Linked DNA regions of Drosophila melanogaster. The protein of the gene in region 1 interacts with the protein of each later gene in a pairwise test. Each region holds a gene or a part of one and is shown on either strand. Other genes may lie near its edges.

The links. The genes of interacting proteins can lie anywhere in the genome.
Region 2: the proteins of Rbp (region 1) and Fife interact in a two-hybrid assay, tested with the Drosophila melanogaster proteins (one study listed by BioGRID).

The regions. Positions count from the first base shown.
Region 1 is NT_033777.3:15,370,585-15,379,000, reverse strand, and holds the start of Rbp (RIM-binding protein), read right to left. Parts: upstream 4,367-8,416; 5' UTR 4,140-4,366; coding exon 4,033-4,139; exon of another isoform or gene 3,324-4,032; intron 1-3,323. Other genes in the region: Ccm3 (cerebral cavernous malformation 3), read right to left, coding at 5,531-5,615, 5,988-6,152, 6,238-6,370, 6,429-6,606, 6,784-6,849; CG6136 (uncharacterized protein), read left to right, coding at 7,188-7,979.
Region 2 is NT_037436.4:2,706,886-2,713,389, reverse strand, and holds the start of Fife (fife), read left to right. Parts: upstream 1-1,699; 5' UTR 1,700-2,038; intron 2,039-6,504.

The DNA of each region.
Region 1 (8,416 bases):
CATGTGGGCCGCAGGATTTTTTAATTATGATGAAGCGCATTGCAAGCATTTTGCAATTGAAGTCGATGTGGCCAAGAAGCCTTTGTTGATGTCAGTTGTAAAAGTACACAGAAAGAAACGAAAATTTGTAATACAATGTTCCGCGAAGATATGCATAAGTAAATGTAACAGTACTCATTAAAACCTAGTTTTCATATGCCGGGAAGAATAAAGTCTTAAAGGATAATACTGTCATACTAAGGCACCTTCATATAAGTATGCAATGCAAGGGTTATTTTTGTATAAAAGGAATTCTTATGTTCTCAAGTTAAGATATTTTTTGATAAGTTTATTTAGCTGATTGCTCGTTGTAGTACATGAAAACCCATTGTTTCCTTTAATGTACCAGTAAGGTTATTTTTTTTTTCAGTTAGTTAGTCTTATATGTTTGACGTGTCCTTTGTCCGGCAGAATCCCTAGATTGCTATCCGGCCGCTGTCATTTCCTTGTTTGTCTTCAAACACAACATCAGTTCTAGCCACTTACGTCTCCTCTCCCCCCTTCCCATTCCCCCTCCCCCTTCGCCACAATTCCCCTCGTCCTGCCTTAACCCTCCGCTGGGCACCCAGCGATAGTGTCTGTCTGTGCCTGTCGGTGACTATTTTAAGCACCCCACCGTTTGCCGCACACTTTCGTGGACTTGAGCAGTGCTTGGCACCATTTATCTCCACACAACCACACATACGCACTCGTGCATGTACGCACACACACAGCGACAGGAGCCTACGTCACAGGCGACTTGTTTGCCAGCCTCCCAAACACAGAGCAAAATTGAAGCCATCATGAATTAATTATCCTTGGTTAAAGGTCCATTCCATCAGACCATTAATAAGCCAAAATGTATGTCATTTTAAGCTTATAACTTACCAAGTTAATGCGAACAAATTATAAAAATAAATATTATGTTAATCAAATGAATGAAAAAGTTTTTTAAATGAATGATTAATGTACACGCTTTTAAACTGAAATCCTTGGCAATTATTTACTTAAAGTGCTGTCAGTAAGCAAAGCGATCTAGTTAGCAATTAAACATTTAACCTCTGGTCTCAGTGCGTTCTTTAAGGAGGAGGTGGCATCGATGTCTGGTGGTGTTGTGAGGGGGCTTGAAATTTTAATGAGTTCTTAAAGTGCAGATTAGCCGGAGCCTCAGACTGCGCACCAGGCAGCCTCTTCGGAGGTCCGATGGAACCAACCAAGCCACCCAAAACTGGGTTGCGGCCTGGCTATGCTTTACACTCTATTAACCCACATTCTGGCCAAAGTCGTTGCGGCCATCGGAGTAAATTAAATGGAAAATTCCCATTCACTCGGAACTGAGGCACGTTATCTAACAGGGAGAAAGCAGGGAATTGGGAAGGTAACCTCTGCCAGCACAGTATCTTTATTTCCGCACAACGTGCCGTATGCGTAATATCATTTACAACTGCAAGGCGACTGTCTAGTGAAATATACAAAAAGTCGTAATTAAAACAATATTCGTTGACTATTCGTGGTTGGAAAAAAACGCCACAAAGAAATGAAACGAAATATTCCTGCCAACTTTGTTGGCCCCAAACTTCGACAAACTAATTTAAAAACTTTGTTGCGTTTTTGGTTTTTGGCGCGCAGCAACTTTGATTTACTTTGAAATGAAGTGCCCAGAAAACCAAGAAAAAAAAGCGGGAGAACAAAAGTTGCAACTGCAAAATGGCAATTTCCACCTTGTGTGTTGACAGACAAGTTTGCAAAGAAAGGCAATTAATTAGCATCCGGAATCGGTTGCCTTGGCAAACTCACGAAAAATGCAAAAAGTTGGCCATACCAAGCTAATATTTACATATTCTCCAGCAAAGGTCGGTGAAAGTTTTAAAGCACCATTGTCTGCTCTTCGATGCCCTAATGAGCTGTCGTTCAATTAATTGAATGCTCACACACTTGGGCCATAACAATCAAGTGCTTCTAATTGCAGCAATTATAGCCGACGAAGGCAGGGGCCAACAGCCATTGCCAACAATTACATGCATAAATAGTCGACAATGTGCTCGAGAATATGACGAGTGGCAAGTCCTAAAAATAACACTGCGAGCAGAAACTTTTTAAAGTCGAGCAATTACAATTACAATTACATTTAAGATGTTGGGAAAAGTTCATTATCCTGCTGCTGGCATGACCTCAATCGCAGAGCCAAGGAAAAAAGCGAACCAGAACACGAGCACAAAAACTATCTTGCCTATTTATAACAAGCTGCTCACACACAGGCACACACACAGACCCACGAATTTCGTCGCTTCTGGCGCTGAAATACTATAGAAAAAAACCATAGCACAGTTATGGGGTGGAAAACCAAACCGCCAAACCGGGAAATGGGAAGTGGTTCGGAGAGAAGCAGGGGGATCCCCGCCTGTGGACATCTCATGGTCGCAGTTTGGCTGGCAGCCCAGCATATAAATTATTGAATGATTGCCATCTGTCAAAATTGGCCAAACTCAACGATTAATCCTGCTCGGAAAAATCCAATAAAATCATAATGGCTTTTCTTTTCAAGCCGTTCTTTATATTTTTCAACACGGGGGATCTTTCTGTTGGCTTAAAGGAAAATTCAATTGAATAGTTGCACATTTGAGTTCTTCATGTATTAAATACATATGCAACATGTTAATTTAAATTTGGCCAATTATGTTTTAATTCATCTACAGAAAAAACTACATATTTATAGAAGGAAGCTATGAAGACTTTCTTTTCATAATAAGCCCGTCTAGGTTGTGATAATGTTGTATTAAGTATCCGCAACGTGTACCAGGCCATCGACGCGTGACTTTCGATCATTGCAGTGGAAACTGAGTACAGTGGGCTATAAATATATACGAAATACGTGAAAGCATTCAATCGGTGGAAAGTGCTGTTACGGGTATTAAAACACCGCTCCAGAGAAGGTAACGGTAACCGCATGCACGCTGTAGATACCTTTAGTGTACATATATATGTATGCATATGTACATGCATACGTACATACACACGAACGTGTGTGGTGGGTGTACACTGTATGTAGTATGTGTGTTACGCACGCAGCAGCAAACAACTTTAACATTGTTGTTGCGCAGGCTGTGGGACAAGTGTGAAGTGAAAACCGCCCCCAGAGTGCGAACCCAAAAAGTGGGACTTTTCTGCTGCTGCTGCTGCTGGTGCTGCTGGAAGCTTATGAATATGAAACGCTCACACACACATGCTGCTCCTGCCGTTGTGGCACTTGCAGTGGTATTGGTGCTGCTCCAGTTTCGTTGGCCATTTACATCTACTTTACTTACATGCCTCTCGCTCTTTTCGCTTTCTCTGTATGTGTGTGGCGGGTGTATGCGTGAGTGTGTGTGGGTGCGCGCTTTTTTGTGCCAAAATGTAGCTGAACTCTGCTTTTAGCCAATTTCTCCGATTTTATTTAGGCATTTTTCTATAATTTCGGTTTCATTCACCATTTCGCCTGCCTCGGTTTTACAGTGATTACCCGCATTTGCATATTGTATATGCATCAGCATGTGGGCGAGTATGTATATGTATATGTTTGGATATATGTATGCATGTGAGTGTGTGTGGGAGAGTGTAGTTTTACGCTGGCTGCTCTTTTTCGTATTTTTTTTTTTTTTTTGCCTTTATCGATATGCTTACACTTTTACTTTTCACTGTCCCACCATTTTCCCGGAATCATTATATCTTTCACTGGATTTTTTAACTGCACTCGCGGCGAGCTTTTTCACGTTATTGGCGAGAAAATGAAATTTTCACGCAGCAGCGGTGCTGTTGGGCAAACATTTGGTGTACAGCGAAATTTTTCGTGAGCTCGCTCGCTCGCATAACAGCTCTTTTTTTCAGCTTGCGCAAAATAAGTATTTACCACGCGATTTTGACACTTTTTGCTTAAACTGCGGTTTTCGTTTTCGGAAGCACAGGATTTTATCCTTTCTTTTTGGGTTAACTTTTTGTAATATTTTGTATTCGGGGGCTTTTGAACGGGTTGCGAACCTTTTTTGCTGCTTGTGCTTCTGCTTCTTGCTTGCTGCTGCTGCTGCTTTTTCAGGTCGCCTGTTTTCCTCTTCCACGTTTGCGCTGGGAAATTCACATAAATGCATATAGTTTACACTAGGCTACGTAGGCTGTACATAATATATCCGAAAAACGCGATCGTTTCACTGCTACTATATAGAAAAAAACTCCGCCTAGTTGTCCACTTTCTGTGGGTAGTAGCAGTTGGGTCTCAGTGCGAATACCGAAAAGTGGGTCATCTCGGTCGCGCTGCTGGCGCACTCTGATTTCTACCCAACTGCCAGCTCGGTGCTCAGTGTGCCAGAGCAGAGTGGCCCAGAGAACCCAGAGCCGAGCACTCAGTACCCAGTGCCCACTATTCAGTGTGCGGGGAATCGATTTTTCTGCCAAATGACACTGAAAAACGGGCAATTCTCTCCCGCTCTCAGAAGGACTCCTTTGGGGTTGCAACTGGGTAAATTTCTGCTCAGGGCCTGTTATTGGGGGTTTACTATTACTTTTGGCTGTTATCCGTTAACAGCGCTGTCCTCTGTTAACGACATGTGCGTGTAAATCTGAGATTTTGATTTCAGTTTACCAATCTCTGATTTTCGAAATCAATTCTCGGGTAATATAAAACAATTATTTCCACATCATACCACACCTAATACTATAAATTATAAAGTAATTTTACGTAAATTGGTTAAATATGAAACACTCTTTTCAATTTTGGAATATAAATACATTTATTTGTCGTTTTCTTTTCGCTATGTCTACATTATGAGTTTGTTGCCGTTCTTTTACTTTTGCTTAGTGTTCGATTTTCATATAACATTTTATTAATTAAAATAATTTTTTCTCCATCCTGTTGATAGTGCTGTCGGCCACTAATGTCTTTCGCTTTCGCAGTTTTCAAATAGAACATATCATTAAGTAAAAGATTATTATGTATAGTGTTTAAATTTCAAACTCTAACAATTAAAAACAGTTAAAAATTTAAGTGTTCCGTTAATGTTTTTGTTTGTCATCTCCCCGTAGTACATACATTTCCTGTTTCTCGTTTTTTTTCCACTAATTTTAAATTTATTCGTAGGCGCTTCTCCTAAACAAAAACAAACTAGCCGATGTTGTTTGTTAACAGAAAAAGAATGAATTATTTACAATAAATTGTAAACGAAAAATAAACTCTCGCACACATCGTCCGTCTCCATAAATAGTTGCTCACTAGTTAATTACAATGCTTAGGCTTCGCAAAATTTTGTGTCCGAGTATGTGTAATACATATGTATATACGATATAAATTAGGCCTATTTATTTAGTTACAACAGATTTTCATTTACGTTCAAACATTTAACTTGGACTGCGTCGGGCGATTTTGTATTTAAGTGTGTTGAGTTTATTTGATTTGTTTCGGTCTTGGTATGTTAAATGGTTATTTAAACATAAAATTAAAATGCCACTAATTAATTAATTTGCCATAATTAAAGGATTTAATTCTCTACTCGCATTTACTCTTAACTGTCAGCATTATTTGATTCGTTTGCCGTATTAGAAAAAGTGCACTTATGAATACTGCATTCGGTCTGAAAATAGATAAAATAAAAGAGAATCGGTTAGAAAATCCTTGCTGAAGCAATTTGAATTAGTAATGCAATTTGGCCCCAATTTCATGAAAAGGTCAGCGGTAATAGCCATTAGTACGTAATCGAAGCAATTTACAATTTAAAATGGGCGGGGGTCCGGCTTAATATCCGCCCCTCAGAATCTCCGGCGCAAAATGATAAACCAAACAATACCCGGAATGCCAATGGAATGACATCATCTCAACGGTTGGCCCGAAACGATAAGAAACCAGATATGAGCCGATTTAAAGAAACCGGCTGTCATGGCGTCGCAGCGTATCGTTTGATAACACATATAGTAAATAATCACTGCAGGTGATTCTTAATACTTACTGTCCTTCTTTGAAGTACTCCTTCAGCGTTGTGCTGAACTTCTTGGAATATTTGACGAACTCCTTCTTACGCTGCTCCACAGCCTGCTTGCCCGTTACGCCAGGTATAAACGAGCCGATCTCGTTGACCACATCGAGTAGTTTCTTTATGGCGCTGGCGATTTCCCTGTAAAACGCAGTAAAATTTCATTATTCATTAATCAGTTAAGCTTATGCAGTGAGTTTTAGCTTCATTTTGAGTTTTTACTTACTTGATGGTCTCCAGGAAGGTCTTCCTGTCGTTTATCTCATCGGGTATGCGGCTGAGGATCACCTTGAGAGCCACGGACTTACGATTGAGCTCCTGGAAGGGCTCCTCCGTGCGCGTCAAGCGGTATTCATTGACTGTGGAAGGGGGAAACTTCGTTAGCTACGAAACTCAGCTGCTGGCGTGGCTACTTACGGTCCGCTTCCGTAATTTTGCCCTGCAATCGGAGCACGGCCTCGTTTAGGTTAACATTCAGATCGGCCCGCCGCACAATTGTGGCTACGAGGTCATAGCAGAAGCCCGGATTGTTCTGCTCCGACTTGAGAATGGCGGAGCGCAGAGATTGGGCAGCGCCAACGTCGCGTCGCTCGAGCTGCAGGTAAACGTACACAAAGTTAAGCAATTACAAACCCAAGTACCCCATGTAAAGGTTTACGCAACAGGCCACGATCTGACGGGGCTGAAGGGTTCAGAGGTACGGTTTGGGGCTGACGGGTTCGGAGCAGAGCACAGCAGAGCGGAGCCGAGCACCTGGGATCGTTTCACCTACCTGGGAGAAAATGGGCCGCAGTATGACGGGCAGAACGAGAGACGACGTGGGCTCGCCCATTGTCATTGCTACTAGTGTGCTTGGTCTTCTCTACTGGTGCCTAGGTATCCTGGCGCATGCTGCAGGAACCCAGTTGCGATTCCCGTTCCGTGCGATGTCCGTCGCTTCGCTCGCACGACGCTCGCAAATCAAATTAAAAAATTAACAAAAATTGTTCACAACAGCACAGGCACAGTGTTGTTTTTCAATACTGGAAACTAACTGGTTTTTATCGATGAACGTGTCGTGCTTGGTTAGATATCGATTGCTTCTGTAGAAGCTGATGGTAGAATCAGCTGATTTACATAAACCTATCGGAACTCTGCAATAAATTGGTTTATTTTTGTTTACCTGTCCTTTTATCAATGATAAGAGAAATGTCCAACCACGATATCAAGCTGGAGGTCTGCGTGGACTCCATACGATCGGCTTTTGCCGCCGAGGAAGGCGGAGCTTCACGCATTGAACTGTGTTCGGCATTGGGCGAAGGTGGCTTGACACCCAGCATCGGTACCCTAAAAACTATTAAGGAAACGCTCACAATGCCCATTTACTGCATGCTGAGGCCACGGCGGGGCACCGACTTTGTCTACAGCGACGAGGAGATGTGCGCCCTGCTCACGGACATGGACTTGCTGCGGGAAAACGGTGCCGATGGCTTCGTTTTCGGATCCCTGAATCCGGATCGCAGCATCAACGTGGATCAGTGTCGGCACGTTTTGCTGGCGTCCGGTGGTCTGCCAGTGACCTTTCACCGCGCCTTCGACCTCACCGACCAGAAGTCCATGGACGAGAATGTCGACATGTTGCGGGAACTAGGTTTCCGACGTCTGCTGAGCAGCGGATTCCGACCCACGGCTGCCGATGGCGTAGATTGCCTGGCACAGCTGATAGCCAAACATCAAAGAGACTTTATAGTTATGCCCGGCGCCGGCATAAAGGTGTCCAACCTGGAGGAGATCCTCACGGTCAGTCGCTGCCTAGAGTTTCACGCTTCCGCCCTGGACACGGCTGGCGAGGACTACGTGGCGCCCACCACCACGCGAATGGAGTGTGACGTGACCATGGGCAAACAGGACGTGGACCCCTACTACGGAACCAACTCCATCGTGGTGCGAAAGATGGTTACCATTGCGAAAGCGATGAGCTCCCGCTGAAAATCATAGTACTTAACCTATCCCTAAGACTTAAATTATTCCTTAACTGTTTGTTTACATCATATATAACTAGTATATACCTTTTACTTAAGTAGTCTTATCCCTAAAATTCTAAATTCTAAAAAATAATCCAAATTTGATTTGATTTGATTGTGCTGAAACAACATGATTGTGGAGATAGTAGAGAATCCTGCTGCTCTAGAACATAATTCTTTTAATGATCACTTAAATAATGCAGAAAGGGTATTGCATAGAATAGAAGCATACAATGTAAAGCTAAATAATCATATGAGGAGATTGAAAGAACTGCTGGCCAACAATAGAAGATTGATTTCGGGGCTATCGTACAATGAGCACAGCATTAAATCTTTATTGGAAAACAAAGCTCAAGATAAACAAATAGAGTAAGCTAAAGAAGGAAATATGAACTCGGTTAT
Region 2 (6,504 bases), on another chromosome or scaffold:
TTATGTTATGAGGATAACATTTCGAAATTTAGGCTTATGTATATGATTTTATCAATAGTAATTAGTTATACTTAAAAAACGTTCAGATTTTAAGTAGATTTTCTAAGGTTTTTAGTGATTTTTCCAAGTCTACCCCTGCGTGATTTCTTCTGCAGCATTCTGATGCCGTTCGTCCTTCAACAGACGCTGCTCCTTTCACACGCAACGCCTCAGCTCGCGTCCTTATTTTCCCTTTTCCACCTCGCGTTGGCACATTTTCCTTTTGCTGCCTCCTCAGCTTTTTTTCGCAGCTCCCCCTCGGCCCCTCACCACATTTCTTGGGGCCCATTGAATTTCATTGTGCGCTCAAATTGTTTTGGTATTCAAGCTTAAAGCACGCGACTGCTTCTATGCCTGTGGTCGGCCATCCTGCTCCTTGGCTCCTTGTGCTGCCACTGTTCCTTCTGTTTTCTGTTTTCCTTTTTTTTTGTTTTTTTTTTTTGCTGCTGCAGGTCCTGCCAGCGAGTGTGCTGGTGTGCGTGCGATGTTTTCGTCCTCGGCGATGTTCTCTGCCTTCCAGCGTATCCTGTTGCTTGCGAAACGCAACCAGTTGAACATTTCCAGCAGGACTCTCTGGGCCTCGGCTCCGCTCGGCTTTCAATATCGTCCTCCGGCGCTCTCTCGCGCTCTCGGGAAAGGATTTCTCTGCTTTTGCTCTCTCTGTTATTCGGCTGTTGCTTGGCACATGTTTAACGCGCAATTATTTTGGTCCTGTTGCGCTTTTTCCATCGCCTTTGTGAGAGTATGGGTGGCTGGATGGCTTAGTTTGTATTCAGACAAAGTCAACTTAAAGTTGCTAAAATAACGTAATTAATTCTGTTATTGAGCACTCAGAAATACACTTAGTTTCTGGTTTTAGATGGATTTTTAAAGTGCGTATATAAGTCCCTAAGGTAGCACTGGTAATCATTACTCCTTTTATTTAAGGATGAATTTTTTAAATGAAAATTCCCTAATACTTTGAATTCTAAACAAACGGTTCTTATAATTTGTTTTACTTTTAAAATTTATACTATACTTCCATTGCACAATTTAAATGTGCACCGAGTCATCAATCAGGTTGTTCCTCATTTTATCACTCGTTTATTTTAATAGAGATTAATTCATCAACATTACGATTATTATTATTATTATATTATATTATTCAATAAGTTCCGCTCCTTAAAAAGCCCCTAAATATCGTGATACCACCATCTCCATGGACATCCACATCATGATGGCCATCAGCATCATTGCTGGGCATGCAACAATTATGAAAAGTCTCCACTCGGGTACGCTTGTCCGCTCGTGTAGACCGAAATCGGCGGCAGGATGGCCGAGTGGATGGATAGAGAGCGCGCACCTTGTGGCAAGTGCGTGTGCGTGGGGGGGCGGGGCATGTGCGATAGGCGACGTTCGCAGCTGCCTGCATCCGCATCCAGGGAAATCGCTTAGCTGTTGCTTCGTGTGCGACTCGCAAGGTGGAAATTGATATTACTTTTTAATGCTGGGCCAGCTGGTGGCTGGCAGGACTTCCAGTGCGCGACAGGGAGGCGGTTATGCCGAGGAGCGGCCGTGCGACAGAGAGGGCGCGAGAAGCGAGAGCGCACTGCTTCGGCTCGAAGGACCAAAAGTGCCAGCCTCGTCACAGTTCGAGTTGAGCCGTCTCGCGAGCAGGACACCAAACGCGGAGGCTGACATATCCTGTCGCCAGGAACTTGGCAACTTGGGTACTTGGGAAACAGGAACCCAGGCTATAGGAGCTATAGCCTTTCTAACTTCTCCCGGCCAAGGTGTGCGTGTGCGCGAGTGTGGGTATCCTGGCTGTTGCTGCTGCTGTAACGGTGTGTGCTTTGTGCGTATGTGAGTGTGTGCGTAGCCGTGTTGTTGGCCAAACAAAAGCCAGAAGAAGTGACGAATAAATTTATAATCGCGCGCTTAACACACGCTACCTGAAAATATACATTTTGCAAAAAGTACTACTCTCACTTTAAGACTAAAAAATTGTTTAGACGCGCAGGTGAGTTGAATTCGTGTGTGCCAAAAATTGTTGTTATGAAAGGACTCGCGTGGCAGGCTAGCAAATAGTTTAATTTCCGGTCTGGCCATCAGGCGCACATCCGGTTTCAGTTTTATTTCCGTCTGTGCTCACTGCTCATTCACATGTTCCAGAATATATCTGCCAATTCTTAAATTCATTTCATAAATACGAATAGGACTTTTAAATTTGAAAGGGCAAAGCAATTTTTTCAGAGGTACCCACCACAAACTTAAACTTTTAAGCAGTAGTTTTCTTTTTTTGTTAAATCATATTTGCTATTTAATATTTAAGAAGAGTATATTTATGTGCCTTATAAAACTCCCAAGTACTTAAGAATTTTTCAAGACCTCGAATCGTTACTGCCAACTTTGTATTGGCTGGAAAAGTGCTTGGAAAAAGAATAAATGTATTGCAAAAGTCCCTGTCTGAATTTGATAAAATACCATTACACAAAAGGTATTGATTCCTGGTCCTGGCCCCTCCAACTAATTCCAAACGTATTAACCAGGCTTATGTCTTAGCCCTTGGGGGCTTTGAGAAAAGACGGCGGACAAACACCTCACAGGCTGGAAAATAAAACAACTTAATGAAGCAAGAAATTGAAAACATTATCAAGGCGATTAATTATTGATACTTTGATGTTGCCGGCCCCCGTCTAATTAATTTATAATTAAGTTAAGCATCTGCCCGGAGCTCACTCTTTGGATTTCGCTGCTTGAGCTTTAAGTCGAGGATGAGGAGCAACTTTAAGCTGTCTTCGGCACCTGCTTCAGCAATTTTTGCGATTGAGACTTTATGGACGTGACCCGCCTGCCGTATCGATGGCAATCAGATTGTTGGGCTGTTTGGGATGACTGGGGTGAGGCTTGGCTAATGCCTGCTTCTGGCCAGCCAACTGTCATTACTCTTGGCCCTAATCCCTGGCCGAGTTTGTGGCGCTCCACTCGAACGGATCCTGAGCCCCACAGCTGAGCCCCTGCACTTACACCTGCCATCGCGTCTGGTCGAGGTCTGCTCCAAAGTGCCTTTATTATGCCATTTTAATTTAGATTCCTATCAATCAGTAATAAGCATTGTGTCCACCCGCACAGACAGCAAAAAAAGCGTTAAAAACGAAGAGATATTAGCTATTAGGGTCAGGAGCATTAGCTTAATATCCGCTTGATTTTTATTACAAAAACTTGATTAAATTGGATTTCCACACTCAGCGGGCAAAGCGAAAATTGGGTTTAAAGTAAATTTCAGATTTATGAAGTCAGAGAATTTTGGGCTTTCTCTTAATCCATTAAATATTACTCATATTTCCGAACATGAAATGTATTTTTCCCCTTTCAAGGGTGAAACATCAATGTCATAATTTACGAATTCATTTGATTGTTTTTACAAGACTCACAATTTGTATTGATATTTCCCACAGTTTTCGCAGAAAGTTTTATAGCATTCGAAGGGAGTAAACAAAGTTGTTTAGTTTTCCTGTTTTGAGCGGATATGCAAATCAAGCGGCAAAACTCATTTCAGTTTCCCCACAAAATCGCCAACAACAAGAAGACAAGGGAAAAGTTAACCAAAACAACAAATGCTAGGCGAAACTGATGAAAAAAAAAAGAAAACTCATTCGGATCGTTTGCATAAATTTGCGTCTTATTTTGTTGGCAATTTATATGCGCAGCCGAATGACACACGCATTTTAATTGAAAGCAAATAAAAGACTCTATAATACATAATATGACAAGCCATAATCCTGACAGCAACAGTTATGCATGCTGACAGCTCGCAGCGTAGGGAAAATGTGGGGAAAAGCGTGCCGAAAACTGGGTCGGAAAAGCGGTGGACTGCCGCGGAGTGGCGGACAAATCCGGAAAATGGACAGCAGGCAAATGCTGACAGGCTGGCCAGCCCAGCGAGTCTAATGGCATTTTAAACAACTGAACTGATGGCCAGTTAGCCCGCTTTTCCCTCGCATGTGTGTGCCCATCGAAATGTATTCATTAATGTCGTCTGCAAAGTCAAAGTGTTTAAAATGTTCAACACGCCCGGGGCACATCCTGGTATCATTATATCCTTGGCCCATCAAGTACACAAACACACGCACGTACGTGTGCAGCCCCAGGATGCCCGCAAAAGGATTAGGCCCTTTGTTTTGGCCCTGCCTAGCAGATTTGGCTCATTCTGGTTGCGCTTTAATCAAAAGCAGAAATTAATTAACTTTGTGCCGAGGATTCCAGACTTATCTCTTCACGGCGTGTGTTGTGAATAATGAACGTTTCCCGGACTCTTGGATTGCGAGATGCAAAATACCAAATTGCCGCTTCATTTGCACAACAATTTTTAATAAAGCAGCAGCAAAGTGAACGAATTTTTTCCCGTCGACGACTTTTGACCGGGTTTTCCGGACGTAAACAAGCGGAGGACCCAAAAAAAAATAAAAATAAAATAACCAAAAAACTGCGGGCCGCAGATAAAAAACGCGTAAACAAATAACCGACATAAAGCGCATAAAGTGAATGATGCTGGCCACAGGCGCAAATATTTATTTTACATTTTTAAATAAGTCGCTCACATTTGTTGTATTTGGCCTGATGTCGACATCCCATTTGATATATACACATAAAAAACTGATGCAGAGTAAAAAATTCCGTTTATTTACATGCTTCTTATCTGCTTTAATGCATTTACTCAAAACATTCAATACATTTTTATATTCATAAAAACATACTGTTGATTTATGAATCAGCTTAAAGACAACATATAGGAAATACCTTACTGACTTTCTACCTTTTGGGCTTTAAATCGGGTGTATATTAATACTTATATAATTATCGGAACATAAGTTTTTCTTCAGTCACTTTGTGTTTCGTTTATCAATCTTTTAAGCATCCAAATTTCTTTTTTATATCTATTGCTTTCAGTGGGGAATTTAACTAATTGAATTTCGTTGGCATGTCCACTCAACACGAAACTCGGAGGCCATTCCCTTTTTTTGTTGATCCTTTTGCAAGTTACGCATGCCAAACTGTGCAAAGTGCAGACTTACGCAAAAAATCGAAGGCTTCTAAGTGGAAGGAGTTGAAGGATATGGGCGCTGGGTGGGGGTGGGTGAATTGCGCCCCACTCACATTTTCCAGCTTTTCCCACTCACAGGAGGCTGTCGTGCAGGGGAAATCGGTGAACGGAGCACTTGTCGTTTGCACGCTCCTCTATTTACTTTCTGCGGCTCGACGAATTCCCAATTAAAATGTTTGCCCACAGTTCTGGCAAGTAGGTAGTTTGGAGCAGCTCTTGTTCACTGGTAATTTGCATACGTGGATGCGTGACTATGTCCCGAAACACAATTTCTCGTTACGGGCCCCATGAAAAGCAACTATCCGACTCCAGGGTGCAAAAAAAGTGTTGGCTGGCAGAAATAAATTACACTTTTTCGCTCGATTTTAATCCTGGAAATGCTGAATTTTTCCCGTGAAATACAGCAAACTTTGAGTGAATTAAAGAGAGCTTTGACGTAAATTACTTTTATGTCTTGCAGCTTTTTAATTTATTTAACGGAACCAAAACAAATTGCATTAGAGTTTCAGTTAAAAGCTACAGACCATATTAATATTTAGAAATAATTTTTGTGTAACTGAGTTACTAGATTAGAAACACTTTTACTTTAGTAACCATGATTTTTAATTATCATGTTACATACAATTATTTACCTGTCCCCATTTTTATTTGACAGTCTAATTTAGATATTTCTGCTAGAAAGCCAGCGAAACCCATAGGGATTTTCTCCACTTGTCTTAACTTGGCCAAATCGCCGCTACACGGACAGTGACAAAATGCTACAAATTTTACAATTTCCCTGTGCCATTTAAGGTCTTCTTCTGGATGATAGCATTGTCCGCCGGCTGTTGGCGTTGCTATTACCGTAACGCGGAGTATCTGTAATATCCGGGCGCCACAAGAAGTAAGGAGGAGCAGGGAATAGGATACCTAGGATATATAGGCCATCCAGGCAGACAGTGACAGAAGGTAGATAGCCCAGGCACTGCGCTACTTGGTCGCCCTGTGTTTACATTTTGTTAAACGCGACCCTGACCCGCTTCCAACTCAGCCCTAGGTGTTTTGCTTCTCCTGCTCCTGCTCATCCTAGTCCTATCCCAGTCCCTTCTCACAACGTGTAATCGCTCAAAGCAGCTGATAATGGCTCCACTGGCTGCTGACGCCTCTCCAATCCTCCCAGCCCAATCACACTTGAAAAAAAAATCATTTCAAATTTCATTAATTAAATTCTTTTTAATTTAAAGAATAACCTTGTACTTTTATAGATAGATTTGATATGGTTTTATTTCCTCTTCGACCGGCTTTCAATGCGAATATATTGCATTTTGGTCCCTGTAATGAATGAAAGGACCTCTTTCTCATTGTGCACGGTAGGCAAACAAAATTTGCCGCATTGTTTGGCC